2 linked regions of the Callithrix jacchus genome follow. The protein of the gene in region 1 purifies or fractionates together with the protein of each later gene. This does not show direct contact. Links are inferred from orthologs where the notes say so. Each region holds a gene or a part of one and is shown on either strand. Other genes may lie near its edges. The genes, in order: VCAM1 and MSN.

The links.
Region 2: the proteins of VCAM1 (region 1) and MSN purify together in Homo sapiens (affinity purification with western blotting; 3 studies listed by BioGRID, with this or other methods). This does not show direct contact. The link is inferred for Callithrix jacchus from reciprocal best matches to the Homo sapiens genes VCAM1 and MSN.

What each region holds. Positions count from the first base shown.
Region 1 is NC_133508.1:145,132,122-145,135,934, forward strand, and holds part of VCAM1 (vascular cell adhesion protein 1), read right to left. Parts: intron 555-3,813; coding exon 279-554; intron 1-278. UniProt on the Homo sapiens protein: Cell adhesion glycoprotein predominantly expressed on the surface of endothelial cells that plays an important role in immune surveillance and inflammation.
Region 2 is NC_133524.1:62,750,260-62,754,813, reverse strand, and holds the start of MSN (moesin), read right to left. Parts: upstream 2,937-4,554; 5' UTR 2,750-2,936; coding exon 2,738-2,749; intron 2,259-2,737; exon of another isoform or gene 2,212-2,258; intron 1,981-2,211; exon of another isoform or gene 1,907-1,980; intron 1-1,906. UniProt on the Homo sapiens protein: Ezrin-radixin-moesin (ERM) family protein that connects the actin cytoskeleton to the plasma membrane and thereby regulates the structure and function of specific domains of the cell cortex.

The sequences.
Region 1 (3,813 bases):
GCTTCCAGCATGGAGTGTGTCCAAGGGCACACTGAGAGAGTACTGACAAGGCACAAACCAAGGATTGTGGGTGCTGTGTACATATGTGATATATACTTAAGATTTAGGTGAATTCTGTTGCATCAAACCATTCTGATTCAGATTTGGGAGCAATTCACAATGCTAAATTCCTTTTCTAAACATATGGATCTCATTACACATCACAGATTTTGCATTCTTTTTCTTCCAATGAAACTTAAAAAGAAAATGAAAAGTAAACGATTCTGAAAAGCACTTACAGTAGAGCTCCACCTGGATTCCCTTTTCCACTTTCTTACGTCCACAAGTCACTGTGCACAGGTAAGAGTGCTCGTTCTCAAAACTCACAGGGCTCAGGGTCAGTGTGGAATTGGTCCCCTCACTCCTCACCTTCCCACTCAGAGGACTATCTATCTGGGTTCTCCAGGAGAAAGATGGTGACTCACAGCCCATGACACCACATGTCAACACGACCGAGTCTCCAATCCGAGCAGCAATCCGGGGTCCAGGGGAGATCTCAACAGTAAATGGTTTCTCTGGAACAGAGGTGGAAAACAAGATGAAAAGAACGTACTCTTTTCTTCTTTTATCACATTCTGACATATGATCTTTATTTTTCCTGATCCCCTTTCAGCTAACATCTATGCCAAGAAGAAATTGCTCTTTTTTACCTTCGGACCATAACAAAAGAGATCACATCCTTTAAGAATAAAACTATAATAGCTTGTTGATTCATTCATTTAACAAAATGAATAGATACAATTTTGTCAAGAGAGGTTGGTATCTCTTCATAGCAATAATCAAGTCTCTGTTCAAATGTAGTTTATCAAATCACTGTAAGAGTGAACAATTGTTCAAATAATTTAAGTGGTTCTTGTGTGTCAAGCACTATGTAAATTACTATATATATACATCATATACATATATAGCATATATATACTATATAGTGTGTATATATACTATGTGTGTGTGTGTATATATATCTCATTTAATCCCCACAACAATTTCATACACTGGTACTATTTTCTTCTTTGTCTTCTCTTTCTCTTTGTGCTTCTACTCTTTCTCTTCCTCCTTTTTCCCCTCCTTTTTCTTCTTGAGGAAATTTAGGCTCAGAATTAGGCACTGAATAACTTTGCCCAGTTTGCAAGTAAGTAGCAAAATTAGGACTTGATGCCAGGTGGGTCCGATTCAAGATCTCAGTTTTTCAGTTGCTACAACTAAATCAAGTCATCCTCATATGGCGATAAAACGATCTAAAAGAGGTGCTGGAAAAAGCTACAGAATGTATTCTAATTAGATATAATACCCACAGTGGGCAAGTATTTAGAGCTTCTGTTTCAATAATACTGTTATACCATTGAAAGTCACATAGATTCACCCCGAAATCAAAGTCAAAATCTAAGCATTAAAGAGATACATAAGTCACCTCCGAAATTTGCCTGATGCAATATGAAAACACTTTACAATTAATTCAGCATCTGAAAGCTAAGATGTGAGGGCAAACTCCTAAGACCCAAATATCTAGGAATGCTCTTTGGCCATCAGTGCTATCCCTGCTGGGTACAGGGGCTTCTTTTGGACGACTGCTATTTAGGGAGAAAGGGAACACCACATTCTGGCTCTACTCCCCTGAAGAAACTGGGAGTGTTTGGGCAACTCTGAAAGCAACAGATGAGACCCGCCTCTCCCCACATAAAAATCACTGAAATCTTCCTTGTAAATTACAGGCTTGAGATAAAAGAAAGAATCTCAAAATATGAATAATCCAAACATATTACATCTTACGTGTCTCTCATCTGTGCCATAAGTTATTTTTCTCAATAGGTTTGTCTAATTGTGACATCTTAGCATTTTGTAAAGTAGATTCTCCTCAAATCGCCTCAATAAACTGACATCCTATTAGATTTTAAAGAGAGCTCATTCACAAAAACAACCAGAGCTTCCACATTTCTTATATGCTAGTGTGAGAATGAGGAACTTTAAAAACAGATCCACTTCCTGCCTGTGAACATTTATCAGATTATTCTTTACAGTGGCCACGTGTATTGTCATGTGAACTTGGAATCACTGGAGGAGTAACCCCTTTAGGTGGCTGAAAGCCTTTTTAAAAGTATCTCCAGTACTTTAGCTCAGTAGTATCCCGTGTGATGAAAAGCACAAAACAACTCTCCCCAAATCCAAAATACATACCCTTCGTACATTGAAATAGGATACAGTTTATTATGGGGTGGCACTATTCCAGGATGAATGATTGGCTTTATGCGGTTTTATTAGCGTAACGTCTTTCATGGTCACTGGAGAATGCTCAGTAGATAACATCCAACTGAGGTAATCTACTTATGGTGAGTTTGATTTTCATTTTAATTGTTCAAGTTTAAATACCGTGTTTTCACATTTTAAAAATTTGAGCTGGGTATAGTGGCTATAATCCTAGCTACTCAGACAGCTATGGCGGGAGGATCACTTGAGCCCAGGAGTGAGCCCAGCTAAGGCGGGAGGATCACTTGAGTCCAGCCTGGGTGACATAGCAAGACCTCATCTCCCAAAACAAACAAAAGACTATGCTTTCCAAGTTTATAATCTACTCATTAATTCAACAAGCATTTGCTAAACATTTATTATGTATTAGGTAATGTGCTAAGAATCCAAACATTCACACACACACACATACACAGAATTCCTGACTTTAAGGAGTTTACAGATTTTTTTTAATTAAATAGAAACAGGGGGTTTCGTTATGTTGCCCAGGCTGGTCTTAAACTTCTGGCCTCAAGCGATCTTTCCACCTAAGCCTCCCAGAGTGCTGGGATTATAGGCATGAACCATTGTGCCCACAGCAGGATTTTACAGTTTAGTGGAAAGATACATTTAAAAAGACATAATATTTTGTCTCTTGCTAAAGAATATTGGAATTATCTATTTATATGACTGTCCTTCCTAGTTTGTATGCTCCCTTAGGGAAGTTGTCATATCTTTTTTATGTATGTACCCCCAGTACCAAGTACAAATCTTGGATTCTTGGATAAGGGCTCTTAATATGCGTTGAACTGAACAGAAGTGCGTACATGATTATAAGGACCGTTGAGTGTACACAAAGGAAAGAGTAAGTCATTTGGTCTGACACAGTCTGGAACTGGGAGGCTGACGTGAGCTTTGTCTTCGAGAATGGCTAAGACTTTGCCAGATGAAGGAAGGAGAGAGGCCATTTCAGGCAGAAGGAACAGCACAAGCAGACACACTCAGTTATCAACAAAGCTGCAGAGGGAGTCTCTGACCAGACCATAAAGAGTTCTCTGTGACTGTTTTAAGAAATGTGATTGAAATTATAGAAAATGAGCACCTTTTTGTTTAAGGTAATAAACTCCGGGAATGGTGCATAAGATTGATTATACGGGGGACAGAACGTTAGCAGGGAGACTATTTAAAGACAATTAGCCATAAAATATGTGAAATACTGTTTAGCCTTAAAAAACAAAAGAGGAAATTCTGTCATTTGCAACACCAGGGATGAACCCAGAGGACATCATGCTAAGTCTAACAAGCCAGGCACAGAGACCAGTACCTCGTGATCTCACCTATATGTGGGCTCTACTTCTAAAGTCATAGAAGCAGAGAGTAGAATGGTGGTTACCAGAGGCTTGGGGGAGGAGAGGAAGGGAATGAGATGTTGGCCGAAGGGTACAGAGGTTCAGTTGGACAGGAGCGTAAGTTGTTGGGATCTACTACATATCATGATGACTATAATTAATGATAATGTATTATATATTTAAAAATAGCTAAGAAAGTGAATTT
Region 2 (4,554 bases), on another chromosome or scaffold:
CAGGCATGTGCCACCATGCCCGGCTAATTTTTGTGTTTTTAGTAGAGATGGGGTTTCACTATATTGGTCAGGTTGATCTCAAACTCCTGACCTCATGATCGACCAGCCTCAGCTTCCCAAAGTGTTTGGATTACAGGCATGAGCCACTGCACCCAGCCAGCATGTTTTAACAGATGTAGGGGAGGTTGGGCTGACTAGGCGGGACAATTGACTATAAAAATGAAACCGACCCTAGATGGGCTGTAGACACGCTTCATATGAATGAACGAGTTTCATTTTCCACTACCCTTCTCTATCTGTCATATGCTAGAAATAGCTTAAAGCACATCAATGAAAAGGGAGCAGGGAAAGGGAAATATTTTACCTTTTTTCATTAAAGTTACTGGGTGGTATTTAGTGAACTAGGATGCGTCCCTGAACAGCTCGACTTCGGGATGAGGAATAAGAAAAGTAACAGGAGGCACCTGGTGACACTGCTGAACCTTACCAGATGACACAAATGCCAACCTTGGCCACTTTGCTCAAATTACTCATTTCGTTTTATCTGAGGACCATAAAGTTCTGAGAACAGGGGGCAATTTGCTTGGAGCAAGAAAGAGAACTCAAATGTGAAGAACTCAATCATTGGGTCAGAATAGAGGGTCAATCAGAAGAGCATCAGAAAGCCTGTACCCCAATCTTGGCTCAGTCACCATATGCCCTTAGGTAGGTCTTTTTCTGTAGGCCTCGGTATCCTCATTAGTTTTGTTGTTGTTGTTGTTATTTGTTTTTAAAGAGAGTTGTACTAAATAGATAGTCTCCAAGGTCGCTTTCAGGTTAAGATTCTATGGCCTTAACAGACATATAGTTGTTTTTTCTAAAAGTTGACCATTCCTCGAGTCGAAGCATAGAAAATTCTCTAATGCTTCCAGTCTATCAAAATTCAGCCATCTCCTTCTGATTTAATTCAGGTTTCAGTTAATCTGCATAAAAATGCCTTCAGTATTTAGACACCTTCATTACTCCAGGCCTGACTACAGCTTATACTCCAATCTCTCTCCATTCTCAGGAAAACAATAAACACACTGTCTTGTCTTCTTTGCCACTTTGAATGAGATGAGATGATTTATGCAAGTTTGAGGCAACTTCCAGGCCCATGAAGTTGTGTTTCAAGGTGGGATATGGCAGAATTGAGGATGAGATATGCCACTACAGAAGAAAGGCCAGGAGCAATGTCTATTCCCAGAGATCCACCCAACTGTTCAGGCAAACCCACACCTTAAGAGGAGTCAGGAGTCAACCATAGAGAGAGACCCAAAAAGCCGCTCCTGACAGGATCTTTATAATCCTGTTTTGACAGACAATGGGGTATTTTCCCCTGTCTCCAAAACCATTACTCTCTCCTTGGGGGCAGGGGAGCTGGAAAGAAAGTGTGTAAAAGCCTCATGTCCTAAAACCACAAGTAATCTAAAGGAGATAGACAGTGAAAGCACACATTTTTTTAAAACTTGGTGTTTCTGAAGGACAACGTTCTGGAAAGGCAAGAATGACTTGGCAGTGAGGCTGGTATATAGTAATGTGGCACCCAAAGCTCATCACAAACCCAAAAGGCTAGGCCCCCAACTCGCCTCCTCTCATCCCAGGGGCCTTCAGCCCTTTCCAAGGCTACTAGTCACTATCTCACCTCTACAAGGCTCAAGTAGTCTTGGGGAGACATGTCTGGGAGCATTGCATTGCCTAGGCCAGCCCAACAAGCTGTTTGGCCTAAGGGACTCAAGCCAGGGTAGTCACCAGGCCTTTCTGAGCAAGGGAATGGCCCCAGCAGCCATTTGGCATGACTTGCACAAAAGCAAGCAGAGCTCATTAGTCAGGCACACCCCTCCTCCCTCCTCCCTCCTGGGCATCCGGCCCCCCTAACCCCACTCCCAGAAGGCTTCTGTTCCTCTCATAACAGCCACTGGGGTGGAGACGCATCCCCAAATCAACCACCACTCTAGAAAGGTGTGGCCCGACGAGAGAACCCACACCACACAAAATAGTCCTGCGGGTATAGGAGGAGATAGAGAGGCATTAAGCAATGGGAGAGGCAGGGATTTGCGGGTGGAGAGGAGGGAGAAACCGGTCCTCTCTCCCAGGAGATAGGGTAGGCCTCTCCTCAGTCTGGTGCCTAATGAAGTGTTGGTGCTCTCGGGTGCAGCCTCGATGACGATTTCCTCACATCTCTCTCCTTACCTCCTAGTGGAAAACAGCTGGAGCCACCCGGTGAGGCTGTGGAAAAGGTGAGTGGGGGTGTGGGATCCGCCCCAGCGGCTCCCTCCTTCCTCCCTGCTTCTGTGTTCCCAAGGCCCCTCTTGAACATTGGCAGCCTTGCCCCTGAAAGGTGCCAATTCCTGAGTTGGGGGAAGCGTTGTCTTCTGGACCAGAATCCTCTCCTCTGTGCCCATGGCCCGTCAGGGGAAAGGGGAATCCCCAAGCCCCAACGAAGCCATCCTCACTCTTGCATCTCAGACACAGGGAACTGGAACCTGAGAAAGAGGCAGGCCTCGCCCTGTCCAAACTTCCAGCCTAGACACCCCCTCAACCCCTGAGGACGCACCAGACCAGGATTCCCACTCCGGTCCCCTCCCTACCCTAGGCTATGGCGGAGGGCGCGGTGTCCCAGGCTGGCCGGTGGCTGGCCAAGCCCTCAGCCATCAGCAAAGGGCTATGAGGCTCAGCGGGAGCCCTTGGGGTCGACAGCGCCCACCCCCGCACTCACCGTTTTGGGCATGGTGGCGGCAAAGGCAGCGGAGTTAGCGAAGTTTAGCTAGGACTGTCGGGCAGTGCTGAGCACGCAGTACACACGGATTGGATTCGGGTGGCCGGGGACTCAGATTGGGTCCTCAGTAGCGTTGGGGCGACTATTCGGCTTCCTGCTAACGGGCCACGACTTCACAAACCCCACCCAGGAAAGAGCCGCCCCCGTCGCACCGCCCGCTCCTTTATGTGGCCGGGCTTCCGCGCCGCTCCCCGCCCTCGCGCCCGCCTCCCCGCCGACCGCTGGCCTTGCCCCGCCCAGCCCAGCCTGGCCCAGCCCGGCGCAGCCAGGCCACAGCGGCCACGTGGGGGGCCCGACTGGGCCCAGGCGGACCTAGCAGAGCTACCACTCCCGACCCAGACTCACCCCGCTCCTCTCCCACCCCCCTCACACCCCCTAGCCTTCCACGTCCCGGCCTTCCAGCCCCACCCCCACTCAGGGCCCAGACCCTGGGCCGCACCCTGACAGATGATTACCCCTGACTGCAACTTTCCACCGATGGGGAGCTCACTACCTATCACAGCTATCTTTTCCTTCTTAAAACAACCCTGACTCTTAAAAAGTTCTTGCATGTCGGAACTCCTTTTCTCTATGGCTTCCATGCTTGGATCTCAGCTCTGCTCCCTGAGGCCACACAGATCCCTGCTGTCCCTAACAGCTCCTCAAAGGCCTGAAGATCTCAGGTCCACAGGAAACTACGCTTCTTTTGGCTAAACTGTCTCACCTCTTCCAACACTTCATCTATTCTCTTATGTAGGACTCTCCCCATCGTATTTACTCCCCATCCTTGCTCAGTTCTCATTTCAACAGACTTGACCTCCTTCTCCCCATATCTGTTCTCTACTCTTTGCTTCCTCTAAATCCCAATCTCCACCTTCCTCAAATCAGTGCCCTGATCCTTTAGGTCCTCCCCCAGTACATTCACGTTCTGATATTCTGATGAATCTGGCTATTAATTCCCTCAGTTTAGATGTGACCTCCCTAATGCATACCCTTGACATTTGTCTGCCAGCTCCCTTTCTCCTTTTTGTCAGGATCACAGAATCCCAGGATGGCAGTATTCTAGACTGCTGCAGTCGTCTGGTCAAGTTTGAGTTTTAGGCTGAGTGCAGTGGCTCATGACTGTAATCTCAACACTTTGAGAGGCTCATGCAGGAGGATCACTTGAGCCCAGGAATTCAAGACCAGCCTGGGGAACATATCAAGACCCTCTCCTGTATCTGTACATGTAAAAGCAAAATAAGTGAGGCTGAGCGCAGTGGCTCTCACCTGTAATCCCAGCACTTTGGGAGGCCAAGGCCTGCAGATCACTTGAGGTCAACAGTTCGAGACCAGCCTGCTCAATGTGGTGAAACCCCATCTCTACTAAAAATACAAAAAAGAAAAAAAAATTAGCCAGAGGTGATGGCGCACACCTATAGTCCCAGCTACTAGGGAAGATGAGGCAGGAGAATCGCTTCCAGGAGGCAGAGACTGCAGTGAGCCAAGATTGGACCACTGCACTCCAGCCTGGGCAGCAGTGCAAGACTCCCATCTCCAAAAAAAGTAAAATAAAATAAGTCTGAGTTTTAGTTTGAAAGTGGCTCGACATAGTCCTTTTTTTCTCCTCTCCACTGGCAACCATGTGAGGGCATGGTCTGAGTATTCTTTGCGAGGTAAAGCAACACAGATGGTAAGCTGGTTTGAGACAACAGAGAGGACATTTGAGAGGTCAGGAAACCTGGCTTCTACTCATAGTTCTGCCATTAACTCATCGTGTGACCACTATGTGGCCTTGG